Saccharomyces cerevisiae S288C: one gene and its partners. The protein of the gene in region 3 interacts with the protein of the main gene of each other region in a pairwise test. Each region holds a gene or a part of one and is shown on either strand. Other genes may lie near its edges.

Evidence for each region.
Region 1: the proteins of GPR1 (region 3) and PLC1 interact in a two-hybrid assay, tested with the Saccharomyces cerevisiae proteins (one study listed by BioGRID).
Region 2: the proteins of GPR1 (region 3) and GPA2 interact in a two-hybrid assay, tested with the Saccharomyces cerevisiae proteins (4 studies listed by BioGRID).

What each region holds. Positions count from the first base shown.
Region 1 is NC_001148.4:33,458-38,762, forward strand, and holds PLC1 (phosphatidylinositol phospholipase C), read left to right. Parts: upstream 1-1,778; coding exon 1,779-4,388; downstream 4,389-5,305. Other genes in the region: KAR9 (Kar9p), read left to right, coding at 1-1,490; ACM1 (Acm1p), read left to right, coding at 4,712-5,305. UniProt on the Saccharomyces cerevisiae protein: The production of the second messenger molecules diacylglycerol (DAG) and inositol 1,4,5-trisphosphate (IP3) is mediated by activated phosphatidylinositol-specific phospholipase C enzymes. Required for cell growth, osmoresistance and expression of GPD1.
Region 2 is NC_001137.3:193,152-197,194, reverse strand, and holds GPA2 (guanine nucleotide-binding protein subunit alpha), read right to left. Parts: upstream 2,028-4,043; coding exon 678-2,027; downstream 1-677. Other genes in the region: proteasome regulatory particle lid subunit RPN3, read right to left, coding at 1-247; Arf family guanine nucleotide exchange factor SBH2, read left to right, coding at 2,656-2,922; ISC1 (inositol phosphosphingolipid phospholipase), read right to left, coding at 2,965-4,043. UniProt on the Saccharomyces cerevisiae protein: Alpha subunit of the heterotrimeric guanine nucleotide-binding protein (G protein) involved in glucose-induced cAMP signaling.
Region 3 is NC_001136.10:388,631-394,296, reverse strand, and holds GPR1 (Gpr1p), read left to right. Parts: upstream 1-2,239; coding exon 2,240-5,125; downstream 5,126-5,666. Other genes in the region: ATP-dependent RNA helicase DBP10, read right to left, coding at 1-80; SLM3 (tRNA-5-taurinomethyluridine 2-sulfurtransferase), read left to right, coding at 385-1,638; pseudouridine synthase PUS9, read left to right, coding at 5,396-5,666. UniProt on the Saccharomyces cerevisiae protein: Seems to associate with GPA2 and act as G protein-coupled receptor that senses glucose and controls filamentous growth.

The DNA of each region.
Region 1 (5,305 bases), on a different chromosome or scaffold from region 3:
AGCCATGGCTTACTAACTTGAAGGAATTATTGGATACGTCATTGGAATTTAACGAAATTTCAAAGGATCATATGGATACATTACATAAAATCATTAATAGCAATATATCGTATTGTCTGGAAATTCAGGAAGAAAGGTTCGCGTCCCCGATACGGCATACTCCATCATTTACCCTAGAACAACTAGTCAAGTTATTAGGAACGCATACGGAGACAACTGAGCCAAAGGTACCAAAATTTTCTCCGGCAGAAGATATTTTATCAAGAAAGTTCTTGAACCTAAAAAAAAATATCCCTCCAATTGAAAAAAGTTTGACTGATATCCTACCTCAAAGAATTGTGCAATTTGGGCACCGGAATATAACAAACATAACTACTTTGCAAACAATCTTGCAAAAAAAATACGAGCTGATAATGAAAGATTATAGATTTATGAATTCAGAGTTTAGGGAATTGAAAGTCGAACTAATCGACAAACGTTGGAATATACTCTTTATTAATTTAAATCATGAACTATTATACATTCTTGATGAGATAGAAAGGTTGCAGTCGAAATTACTGACAACAAAGTATACCAAAGATATCACTATAAGGCTCGAGAGGCAATTGGAGAGAAAATCAAAAACTGTTTCTAAGACATTCAATATTATTTACAGAGCATTGGAATTCTCACTTTTGGACGCTGGCGTCGCATCGAAGACAAATGAATTAGCTCAAAGATGGCTGAATATCAAGCCTACAGCGGATAAAATTCTAATCAAATCCTCCGCTTCAAACAAAATAGCTACTAGCAAGAAGAAGATTCCAAAACCGAAATCATTAGGCTTTGGGCGACCGAATAGTGTTATTGGAACTATAACCCAGGATTTCCAGGAGAGAGTCGCCATTAATGAAGGTGACAGTAATAAAACACCGGAAAATTCAACTACAGTGGCTTTGAAAGGTAAAAAGCTTGGTAAAGCGTTACTGCAGAAGATGAATATTAAACCTGCAACAAGCCCAAATTCATCAAATGCGATTAATCCATTTTTTGATCCGGAGTCGCCAAACAAAGGAAAACTGATACTAAGTAGTGTTCCTCCCTTACCTTATGACGAAACCGATGAAACCACCCTCCGTGTTTCTCGTGGGGAAAATGAAAAGTCACCAGACTCCTTCATTACATCTCGGCATGAAAATAAAGTACAGATTACAGAAACTCCTTTGATGGCAAAGAATAAGTCTGTGCTTGACATCGAAAAAGATAAATGGAATCATTACCGGTCCTTGCCCTCTAGGATCCCTATATACAAGGATAAAGTGGTGAAAGTCACCGTAGAAAACACACCGATAGCAAAGGTTTTCCAGACTCCGCCAACAAAAATCACGACACCTAATAGTCAAGTTTGGGTCCCTTCGACAAGAAGAAGAACCCGATTGAGGCCTCCCACCCCCTTATCACAGTTACTTTCACCAAGAGAAGGGCGTTTAGATAAAACCCCAACTTATTGATACTAACCTAAAACTGTATACTTATACATTTTTATATATCCTCCCTCTCACCCTCTCCATTCATAGAATTTGTAATACTAGTTTAAATAATGTAATATTATGTGTAATTTTAAATAGTCCATGAAGATTCCGCACGTTTTCATTTTACAGTTTTTGACACCTTTACCCGACGCTTTATAAAAAAAATAGTATAAGCATCACGACATAAGCAGCCTCAGGTCATTAAAACAATAAAAGACTGGGAATTATAAACGTACAACGGTAAGGTCATTCACGCAGTGTATATGAATGACTGAAAGTGCTATAGATGACCAAAGGTTTAATCTTACAAAGGAGTTACAACGACACTCATGCAGAGATCAAGGGAAAATAACACAAAAGGATGATGCTTTAGATTTTATAAGTTACAGTTCTTTTCAATCCTCTTTTAATACTGACCAAAAAAGCGCGAACAATGGAAGTACTGTGAGAAGAAGCATAAGGTCGATTTTTAGAAGAGCAGCCGAATTGCCTAGAGTCCATATGGGGCCTCTTACTTATTCACATGGGATAAATGAGCTTGTTAACAAGAAATTAAGAAAAGACTGTGATCTCAGCACGCTATGTCGCGTATTGCAAAGAGGAATCAGGATGATTAGGATGACAAGAAGAAGAAGGAAGTTCTATGAATTTAAATTAATCAATAACAACGGGCAAATAATATGGAAAGATGGTTCGAAGTATCTGGAATTAGACTCCGTTAAAGACATCAGAATCGGTGATACGGCGAGTACTTATCAAGAGGAAGTAGATCCGAAAAGATTGAGATCGGACAGTAAACTTTGGATTGCTATTATTTATAAGGTTTCCAACAAATTGAAAGCGTTACACGTAGTTGCTTTGAATGAATTGGACTTTAACACATTCTTAAGCTGCATTTGCGGTTTAGTGAAGTTAAGGAGGGAATTAATGGAAAGCATACTTTTGCCTGATAATTCGCAATTCGCTAGGATACATTGGCAAATTACTGTTTCTGAAAAAGAGGAAGATGAGAAAAAGGACACATTGAGCTTTGCAGATGTGAAGAAACTATGTGATAAATTTCATATTTATGTGTCAACTGGTCAATTGTTAGAGTTTTTCCAATTAGCAGACATCAATCATAACGGACTATTAAATTATTTTGAATTTGAAAAGTTCATTAAAATCTTAAAGAATAGGAAAGAGGTAAATATGATTTGGTCTAAATTTACAAAACCTCCACACTCCCACTTATCATTTGAAAATTTTTTTCAATTTTTAATTACAGAGCAGCATGAGCAAGTGGATCGTCAAACTGCATGGTCATATTTTATTAAGTACAGAGAACCGACTCAGCTGACGATGGGGCAAGATGGTTTTACCAAGTTCTTGAAGGAGCAACCATATTTGGTGGAGGTTAAAGAGGAGTTATATTCAAAGCCATTAAACCATTATTTTATTGCATCTTCACATAATACTTATTTATTGGGGAAACAAATTGCAGAAACTCCATCTGTGGAGGGATATATTCAAGTCCTACAACAAGGTTGTAGGTGCGTAGAAATTGATATATGGGATGGTGAAAATGGGCCAGTGGTATGCCATGGATTTTTAACGTCAGCTATTCCCTTAAAAACAGTTATACGCGTGATAAAGAAGTACGCTTTTATAACGTCTCCGTATCCTTTGATTATTTCACTGGAAATAAACTGTAACAAGGATAATCAAAAATTGGCAAGCCTGATAATGAGAGAGGTTTTAGCAGAACAGCTGTACTTTGTTGGCACAAGAACTGATAAACTGCCATCACCAAGGGAATTAAAACATAAAATACTGTTGAAATCCAAGAAGACGAGTGAAGCAACTAGAGGTCTTAGCGTTAATGAGCCATTTCCATCTTCTTTTAGTTCTTCTTACGAATCAGCTAATGAACAGGAATTAAGAATGAAAGATGACTCCACGAACAGTAGTAGCGCAACAAATTCTTCTAGTATGCAACGCATCAAAAGAATTGGATTAAAAAAGCACGCTGATATAATTAATGATGTTTCTAACATTTCTGGAATACATGGCATCAAGTTCAGGAATTTCTCTTTACCAGAGTCCAAAACGATAGCGCATTGTTTTTCACTGAATGAGCGCAAAGTAGAATACATGATAAAAGACAAACACTTAAAATTATCGTTGGATAAACATAATAGAAGATATTTGATGAGAGTCTATCCTCACGTTTTACGATACAAATCATCAAATTTTAACCCAATACCTTTTTGGAAGGCCGGTGTACAAATGGTGGCTACGAATTGGCAAACTAATGATATTGGACAGCAACTTAATCTGGCAATGTTTCAAATATTAGATCACCAACCTGATGGAAGTTTTAAATCAGGATACGTGCTAAAACCAAAAAAGTTGCTACCTGTAGTAACAAAGGCGAAAATGATTCCATTAATTTACGAACATTTTGAAAATGGTAGTGATCCTGTTACTGTTAAAATTCGAATTTTATCTACACAGTTATTGCCCAGATTGAATGATACATCGCCAAGCAGAAATAACACCAATTCCTTTGTTAAAGTGGAGTTTCATACCGATGACGAGCCGACAATGCCCATCTCAATCGATAAGGGTACAAGGATTTCTGCCACTGAAGCATCCACTAAGAGTTCTCAAGGGAATGGATTCAACCCAATATGGGATGCTGAAGTTTCTATCACATTGAAAGATACAGACCTCACATTTATAAAATTCATGGTTATCTCTGAAGAGACCCAGATTGCATCTGTTTGCCTTAAGCTGAACTATTTGAGGATGGGATATCGTCACATTCCGTTGTTTAACATGGAGGGGGAACAATACATATTTTGCACTTTATTTATTCATACACAAATTTTATAGGCGATCTTTTTCCGGCCAAATACACATATTCATAAATACGTACATATACCTACTTGCATATACCAACATGATTACCTAGAATGGATATATCAAATGGGACGACGAAGTACCACGACAATACACAATAACAACTTCTGTTTTTCGCTGATTGCCTTCTCTTCAGCAGAAAGTTGATGCATATTTCGCGTAGCGCGTTGACGCGTCTTCTTTCTGAAGTTTTGTGCTTTTGTTATCATACTATATAAAGTAAAAAGAAAGGAGAACATATTAAGCATTACTGAATTAGGATCCTTTGGAAGAAATAAAGTAAGAGACACTGAAAGATGATATCACCATCAAAAAAGAGAACCATTTTATCAAGCAAGAATATAAACCAAAAACCACGAGCAGTGGTAAAAGGCAATGAACTTCGTTCACCATCAAAGAGAAGGTCACAAATAGACACAGACTATGCACTAAGGCGAAGTCCAATAAAGACAATCCAAATTTCTAAAGCTGCACAATTTATGCTGTATGAGGAAACGGCTGAAGAAAGAAACATAGCTGTCCACAGACATAATGAAATATACAATAATAACAATTCTGTGAGCAATGAGAATAATCCTTCCCAAGTAAAAGAAAACCTTTCACCCGCTAAAATTTGCCCTTATGAAAGAGCATTTTTAAGGGAAGGAGGAAGAATTGCATTGAAGGACTTAAGTGTTGACGAATTCAAAGGTTACATACAGGATCCTCTCACCGATGAGACTATACCACTGACGTTGCCACTGGGTGATAAAAAAATCAGCCTACCCAGTTTTATAACGCCGCCAAGAAATTCGAAGATATCTATTTTCTTCACTAGTAAACACCAAGGACAGAACCCAGAGACAAAGATATCCCGTTCTACCGATGACGTCAGTGAAAAAAAAGTAGTG
Region 2 (4,043 bases), on a different chromosome or scaffold from region 3:
GGTACAGCACATTCACTGTGAAACATAAAGTTTCCGCATTCAAAAGCTCCTGGTTCCTTAAAGAGCTCAAGTCCTTTAAACTCCTCCATATATATCTTGGGTCCAGCGTTAAAGTGGTCTTGGAGATCTCATTCAAAACTTTCAATAGTTCCTGAACCTGATCTTCTTCCGCATATTTCTTCTCAGAATGGTGCAAGTCATTGACCCCGGAAGAATCCACGTCCATCATTACTGCAGTGCTAGCCATTCTATTTGCTCAATTGAATTTTTTTTACTATACCCCCTTTCAAATTGTGTGATGAATGCCTTACCTACTGCTTTGTCTCTTTCTTGGGTGGCAAATGTTTTTCGTCCTCCTGCCTGAAAAGTGGAACTATTACCTCGTTGGAATGAAATTTTTGTTACCCGGGATAATAACTATAATGACTACAATAATATAGTGGTATAACGCTATAAATTAAAAAATAACGGTTGTGCTTAATACAGCACAAAACAGAAAAGTTATTCAAGTATCATGGTTGTGATTACTAGTACAATGGTCATGAGAAAACGTATTCGTATTTATTTAATTTTTTTTTTTTTTTTACCTTTTTTCCAGTTTCTTTTTTTATCTTTTTTAAAGGTGATAATAAAGGGGAGAAGAGGCATGCAGTTTTGTCTCTGTTTTAGCTGTGCATTCATTGTAACACTCCAGAGTCTTTCAATGTATTTTCCAAAATTGTTTCTTTGATGGCGGCAAATACTAATCTTATATTCGACGTGTCTGTGGCCTGTGTCACGTGAGGATATATGCTTAGATTCGCCCTGTTTAACTGAACAAACCTCCAGAGTATGTACTTAGCAGCCTTGTTGATGTCTGACCCGCCGGTGTAGTCTGGGAAGTAATTTTCCATAGGCACTTTGCTTAGTTTTTCAGCAAAAAGGTCGATTTTATTCAGAAAGAGTACGACAGACGTGCGCGCGAACCATCTACTGTTGACAATATTATCGAAAAGCACCAGCGATTCCTGAAACCTGTTCTGGTTCTTGTCCTCCATCAGCGTCTGGTCGTACTCCGATAGAGAAACGCAAAATATGACCAGAGTGACATTGTCGAAGCAGTGTATCCATTTTTTTCTTTCGGAACGCTGTCCACCCACGTCGTAAATATGCATCTTGATATCCGACCCCATATCAATGACGGTGTCAAAAATCCCTGACGTCATCTGTCTCGATCTTAATATGTCCTGCTGGGTGGGTCTGTAATTGGGCGAAGTGATCCTGGTGAAATTTTCCATGAAGTAAGGAGTCGAGTCCATTAGATAGAACTTCGATGCGTTAGGCCCATTGACTAAATCTTGTGTTGAGGGCAAGGCCCACAACGTAGATATTACGCCCGCGATATCTTCCGGGAATTGGCCCGTGTAGTTATTGGGCATTTCATAGGACATGGTTCTCGACAGGTCTTGTTGCGTCAGTTCACACTCCGGTTCCAAGTTGACGTTAAACCTTGTTCTCGCCTGGATGAGGTTCCTGCCAATTTCCAATAGATTCTGATAGATCAAGGGGATGTACTCTTTAATTTCCTGCTCGCTAAACCCGTTCTGGTGTAAAATCTTCAACTGCTGCAATACCGTGGACTTACCACTTTCACCGGCACCCAGCAGTAGCACTTTCAGTTCTTTGTCGTTGCTGCCACTTGAAGCGTCCGACAATGATGGTTGTGCTGCAACGTTACTCGACCTGTCTCTCAGGGCAGAGTCGATATTGATCTGTTGCGATCCGCTTGTATTTGCCGTAGCCGTGGGAGATATCGCGTTATTAATGCTCCCGTTTTGCTCCTTGCGGTCCTTAACATTATGCGGAGACGGCTGCTGCTGCCTCTGTTGTTGCTTTTCTTGTTGATTTGCTGTGTTGACTGTTCTCACAGTCTTCTGTGGCTCCTGCTTTGGTGGTACCTTCGCTTTGCCAACGTTGTCACTACCAGCGCTGGCGGTCTGCGTGTCAGGAGTGCTGCCGTTCTTTTCTGAAGATGCGCAGAGACCCATGATATTTGCTTGAAAATACGCGTGATTTGTGCTGTAACAATAAGGCTCGCTGTGATAGCAATTGCTCACTTTTATACCTATCGATTGCTCTTTGGGTAGTGAGAACCAAACCTACCTAAAGTTTTTCCACCCCTTCAGTCTAAGGCTGCACGCACGCGCCTATAAATCCTGCTGCTTATTAACTTTTTTTTTCGGTGCAGTATGCAAGAGGATAAGAAGAATCATTTGGGCGCAGCTGAGGGGGCTTGAACATGATGAAGTAAGGGAAGAAGAAATCGCGAACGAGGCAGTAGTCATGTTTTGTGACTGAATTGGCGGACTTCATTTTACTCCAGACATTTACTTAATGTGGAGCACGCCGGGCGCAGGGATCGTAATATATGGTATATCTTTAGTAATTATAAGTTTGATTCTGCCCCGGGTACCACGGGTTACCCGTTTCCTTAGCCTTTTGGATTTCGTCTTTTTTTTTTTCCTCCATTTTCACTTTTTCATTCAGTTACTAACTGGCCAAAAGAGACATTTTAGATATAAGAGGTATGAGAGAGTAGATATATGTGCGTGTGAGAAAAGGTAAGGGGCGCAAAGCATAAAACAGGTGGTATTATCGATCAACAGTATCATAAGAATGGCAGCTTCAGTTCCACCAGGAGGTCAGCGTATCTTGCAGAAGAGAAGACAGGCACAATCCATTAAGGAAAAGCAAGCAAAACAAACGCCCACTTCCACCAGACAGGCTGGTTACGGTGGGTCTTCAAGCTCAATTTTGAAGTTATATACGGACGAAGCCAATGGATTCAGAGTCGACTCCCTTGTCGTATTGTTCCTATCTGTCGGTTTCATCTTCTCCGTGATTGCTTTGCATCTATTGACGAAATTTACACACATTATATAATATCAGTAATTTTTTTACATATGCTAAAGAAAATCGATAATATCATTTCTCGCTCAAGAAAGTTTGCAGGTGGTGCTCCGCGTCCAGAACCTCTTGTTCGACTTCGATGAGGGCTCTGATTTCAGACCTGCCAAACAAGAAGGAGATGGCACCGTCGATGGTGCCCGAGATGGAGACAGCAATAGCGAAAAGGACCCAGAAGATGGAGGACCAGCCTGCCTTGTTTGCAGTAAACGTTGTCACGACCAACGACGCTATTAGGAGAAGTATTGAGGCCCAGAAATGTAGGCCACGGAAAAATTTCTGTCTTTGGGCTGTCTTCAAGTACGTGTGGATGCATTCTATCATGGTTTCGTAGTTGGAGTATCTCTGCAAGATCAGCTCTCTATCATGAGTCTTCGCACGCTTAACGGAGGTGGATGGACGGGACTCTGTGCCCTGTGGGACGATGTTAAGGGTGCATGAGTATGCAAAATGGTCAGAGACACTGCAGTCCAGGTGAGGGATCCGTTCAGTGAACCTGACACCTGCGTCTACTGTTTGCAAGAAATCAGGGTCGATAAGAGCATAATCCAACCTGCATGCCTCATCGGGTTGTCTTTGGGCCCTCCATGTGTTGAGCAGCGAATCGCACGTGGTACAGCCCTTAAGCAATTGTTGCAATGGAGACAGACGAGCGATCACCGCCAAGTCTTGCTTCCCATGCAATTGCTCCCAGGAGTCGACCAGGCCGGCCTCCTGCGTGAGAAATTTGTGGGGCAGTGAGCCCGGTCTGGAGTTTAAGTCACCCACCACAATCACCGCATAACCGGCCTGCCTGTAAAGCTTAATGAGCCTGCTGAAATCCCAGGCCTGACAAGATCTGTGGCACAAGTAGGCGGCATCACCCTGCTTGGCGTATGGGGCGTGCATGTGACTGTTCATTATTGCAATGGGGCGGGTTCCTGTGTTCAATACGGTGATTGCTATAGATTTCCCTACGTACCAGTCGCCACGGAACACCGCACTCGGTCTACCGTTTATCGGGAACCGGTAAAGAAAGGTCGACTCTATCGGGACCTTGGACAGTATGGCCAACCCAGGCCCCGTCAGAATACCAGAATGGAACAAACGCTGATACG
Region 3 (5,666 bases):
TCAAAGGCGATGTCGTCCTCCTCGCTTCCATTGTCGTCTTGATCTTCGAGATCCCTTTTTCTTTTCTGCACGCCTGCCATATTCTAGGTTAAAGAGATATGTGGTGGTAACTTAAATGACAAAAGTACTTTTAGTGACTTTACTTCAAGCAGTAGGAAGTTAGTGAAGTACTAGTAACTCTCTGTAAAGCCATTTTGTATGAATTTCATCTCATCGCTTGAAAATTTTAAGAGCGCCGGGTAGTAACAATTGGTCTCTTATTTTTTTCTTTCAATAGTTGAGGCAAAACATTGCTTTATTGTAAAAGAATGAAAGTTTGGAAACATACAAGAACGTTAAAAATGTGAGCGTATTGATTTGGCAATCGATTCAAGTCAGATAACAATGCTGGCAAGATATTTAAATTTAATAGGACGGAGGAGTGCTTCACCGTACAGACCACAGCGGCTACCGGCAAAGTTTGACAACGTGATAGTGGCAATGTCATCTGGGGTAGATTCCTCTGTGGCGGCAGCACTATTTGCCGGAGAATTTCCAAATACCCGAGGAGTATATATGCAGAACTGGTCTGAATCACAATCTTTGGACGACCCTGGCAAGGAGCCATGCTACGAGAGGGATTGGAGAGATGTGAACCGTGTCGCTAAGCATTTGAACATCCGAGTTGACAAAGTTAATTTTGAGCAAGATTATTGGATAGATGTATTTGAACCAATGTTGAGAGGCTACAGTGAAGGGTCGACACCCAATCCAGATATCGGTTGCAACAAGTTCGTCAAGTTCGGCAAGCTGAGAGAGTGGCTGGATGAGAAGTATGGGACGGGTAACTATTGGCTTGTTACTGGTCATTACGCCCGAGTTATGCAGGAAATGAATGGAAAAGGATTATTCCATTTACTGAGAAGCATTTATAGGCCCAAGGATCAAAGCTATTACCTTTCACAAATCAACTCCACTGTTTTGTCATCTTTGTTGCTACCCATTGGCCATCTAACGAAACCAGAAGTACGAGATTTAGCGAAGTATGCAGGCCTCCCGACTGCAGAAAAGCCTGATTCACAGGGCATATGCTTCGTCAACAATTCCCAGCATGGGAAGTTCAAGAATTTTTTAAAGCACTACCTACCCAGTTCACCGGGTGATATCATTACCGTTGACCCACAATCCGGTGCCAAAACGACATGGGGCAGACACGATGGATTGTGGTCTTACACAATTGGACAGAAAGTGGGCATATCCATGCCACAAGCTGACCCTAATTACCAAGGGACCTGGTTTGTCAGTGAAAAACTAAGGGATACCAACGAAATCTTGATAGTCAGAGGAAGAGATAATCCGGCGCTATACAGTGACACTATGCGAATCGAAAACTTTTCGTCTTTGGGCCCCAGGGAGGACACTATAAACGCTTTCCAAAATACTGGTGCCTTGACATTACAATTCCGGTCCCTGCAGGTCCCAGTCCAAATTAAATCGTGCAAACTGAATCGCTCTGCCGACAACCTCGACATAACAATACACTTAGCCTCAAAACAACGTGCCATAACTCCTGGGCAATCGTGCTGTCTATATATCGACGATAGAGTCCTTGGGAGTGGGCCCATTTCCCATGTTAATAATAATGACACCCATGCATAGTGATGATAATGAATTTAGTATATCACCTTATACGATGCGCCGCAGCAATTAATCTTAGCAACATACTTGCCTAATTGAACCACGGTGGTACGATACAGCCAAGAAGAGCTCATGAAGCGGCTGACCATTTCGAAAAGTAATCTGTATATATGAAGGTCTTTTCCCTTGAATCATGTCTCAATAAGTAGTTCATTTTTTTTTGCCCTCTTGTTTTTCTTTTTCATTTTTTTAAATCACACTTTTTTTTCTTTTCAAGATTTATAAATCTTCCTTCCAGGTTTGAGCCGGACCCATTGTTTAATTAAAGCATAGAAGGCAACGAAGGAGTGGGTTATAGAATTAGCATTGCGGCAAAAACGTCATATTTATTAATATTTATTTGCGAAGGTCATATTCAACGCAATCGCACGTCCTCTTCCGTCTTTTTTCTAGCTTTTGTCCTTTTTTATTTGTCTACATCCCTTTCTCTACGGTATCCAGAAGAAGGTGTGTGTGTGTGTGTGTGTGTGTGTCTATAAAAAGCAGTAAGAGTCACCAAAAAAAAAAAACGACAAACAAGTGATCCGAAGTGTGACGAATAAAGCAAACTCTCCAACTCAAAATGATAACTGAGGGATTTCCCCCGAATTTAAACGCGTTGAAAGGGTCATCCTTACTAGAAAAGAGAGTTGATTCTCTCCGACAGCTTAACACTACCACGGTTAACCAGCTGCTGGGGTTGCCGGGGATGACCTCTACATTCACGGCTCCGCAACTGTTGCAGTTAAGAATAATAGCTATAACTGCGTCTGCCGTGTCCCTTATTGCCGGTTGCCTCGGAATGTTCTTCCTTTCTAAAATGGATAAGAGACGAAAAGTCTTCAGACATGATCTCATCGCATTTTTGATAATTTGCGACTTTCTTAAAGCTTTTATTCTGATGATTTATCCCATGATTATCCTTATTAATAATAGTGTGTATGCAACACCTGCATTTTTTAATACCTTGGGTTGGTTTACGGCCTTTGCCATCGAAGGTGCAGACATGGCCATAATGATATTCGCCATACATTTTGCTATTTTGATCTTCAAGCCTAATTGGAAATGGCGAAATAAAAGATCGGGAAATATGGAGGGTGGCTTGTACAAAAAAAGGTCATATATCTGGCCAATTACTGCATTAGTACCTGCCATTTTAGCAAGCTTAGCCTTCATTAATTATAATAAACTCAATGACGATTCTGACACCACTATTATACTGGATAATAATAACTACAACTTTCCCGATTCTCCCAGGCAAGGTGGCTACAAACCTTGGAGTGCATGGTGCTATTTACCACCCAAGCCGTACTGGTATAAAATTGTTTTAAGCTGGGGTCCCAGATATTTCATTATTATTTTCATATTTGCAGTCTACCTCAGTATTTATATTTTCATTACCAGTGAAAGTAAAAGAATTAAAGCGCAAATTGGAGACTTTAACCATAACGTACTAGAGGAAGAGAAAGAAAAGAAAAAATTATTTGGGCTCGGTCACTGGGGAAAAGCCAAATGGTATTTCAGATCCTATTTTAAATTGCCATTGCTACATCTTTTGAGAAATTTAAAGAATTTTTTCACCATTTCGTTCATAGATCCGAATGAGGAAACAGACGATTCAGGTAGTAGTAATGGAACTTTCAATTTTGGTGAGAGTTCGAATGAGATACCTACACTATTCAGAAAAACAAATACAGGTAGTGATGAGAATGTCTCGGCAAGTGGTGGAGTTCGCTTACTTGACTATAACAGTGCTAAACCACTCGATATGTCCAAATATGCAATGTCTGAACAGCCAGATTTGGAAAGAAATAATCCTTTTGATTGTGAAAATGACATCACACTCAATCCTTCGGAACTAGTATCCAAGCAAAAGGAGCATAAAGTTACTTTTAGTGTTGAAAATGAAGGACTGGATACAAGAAAAAGTTCAATGCTGGGACATCAGACTTTCTCTTGCCAAAATTCTCTAGAATCTCCTTTAGCAATGTATGATAATAAGAACGATAACAGCGACATAACTAGTAACATTAAGGAAAAAGGAGGCATCATCAACAACAACAGTAACAACGACGACGACGACAACAACAACAATAACGATAACGATAACGATAACAATAATAGCAATAATAATAATAACAATAATAATAATAACAATAATAATAATAACAATAATAATAACAATAACAACAACAACAACAATAATAATAATAATAGTAATAATATTAAAAATAACGTTGATAACAATAATACTAATCCAGCCGATAATATTCCTACACTTTCTAATGAAGCATTTACTCCGTCTCAACAATTTTCACAGGAGAGAGTGAATAATAATGCAGACAGATGCGAAAATTCAAGTTTCACCAACGTACAACAGCATTTCCAAGCCCAAACCTACAAACAAATGAAAAAACGTAGGGCACAAATTCAAAAGAATCTAAGGGCAATATTCATTTATCCACTGTCGTATATTGGGATATGGCTTTTCCCCATCATTGCAGATGCGTTGCAATACAATCATGAAATAAAGCATGGGCCTACCATGTGGGTGACATACATTGACACTTGCGTTCGACCATTAAGTTGTCTCGTCGACGTCATTGTTTACCTGTTCAAGGAAAAACCTTGGAACTATTCATGGGCAAAAACAGAATCAAAATATCTCATTGAAAAATATATTCTGAAAGGAGAGCTTGGTGAAAAGGAAATTCTGAAGTTTTGTCACAGCAATTGGGGGAAAAGAGGTTGGTATTATCGTGGTAAGTGGAAGAAAAGAAAATGCTGGAAATATTCTACAAACCCTCTGAAGCGTATACTGTGGTTTGTTGAACGCTTCTTTAAACAATTGTTTGAACTAAAACTACACTTTAGTTTTTATGACAATTGTGACGATTTTGAATACTGGGAAAACTACTATTCAGCCAAAGATTCAAACGATAATAAACGCACAGAATCTGATGAGACTAAAACGAATAGTAGCGATCGCTCCCTTCCATCAAATTCACTTGAACTACAGGCAATGCTTAATAACATCACGGCCGAAGAGGTTGAAGTGCCCTTGTTTTGGAGGATCATTCATCATATTCCAATGCTTGGCGGAATAGATCTTGATGAGTTAAACAGATTGTTGAAAATACGGTACAATAACGACCATTTTTCTCTACCCGGGTTGAAATTTGCATTAAACCAAAATAAAAGTCACGATAAACATCAGGACGTCTCAACTAACAGTATGGTCAAATCCAGCTTCTTTTCAAGCAATATTGTCACAAACGATGATGAGAATAGCATTGAAGAGGATAAGAATTTACGCTATTCAGATGCTAGTGCATCTGAAAATTATCTGGTCAAGCCCACAATACCAGGTACGACTCCTGATCCAATAATTGAGGCGCAGAACGATAATGATAGTAGTGATAGTAGCGGCATAGATTTGATAGCCTTCTTAAGAAATGGACCATTATAAAGTTTTTGTATCGCGATGTTTGAAAATGGAAAGTAAGGAACGTAATACAAATTGACAAGTAGCCGACATGAATGACGCTCACTTCTCTTATATATGTTAGGTAGTATATGCATTATAGAATTTATTCATTGAAGCAATGTGATTCCTCGATAAGTAAGCTTTTTTTCTGTCTGGCGGCGAACCATTAGAGAACAAAAGACCGAGTTAAGAAAAAGTTCATAAAAAACTTTTGAAAATGGATGAGTGCTCGTATAATGGAATAGGAAACTTATGCAAAGAAATAATAGGTTAAGAAATTTGTTTACAGTGCCAGTAATAATGGCTCGACAACTCAAAAGGAATGCATTATCTGCAGGTCTTGCTTTTGCAGGTAATGCAACCTCAAATGAGTTTGATGAACATTTGCAAAATGAGGTTGAAAGAGAGAGGGAAATTCAAAAGAAAAAAAAAATAAAGCGAACTCAATCAAAAAAATCGCCAGATTTGATTAATAAATCTACTTTTCAATCACGAACGATAGGCAGCAAAAAAGAGAAACATA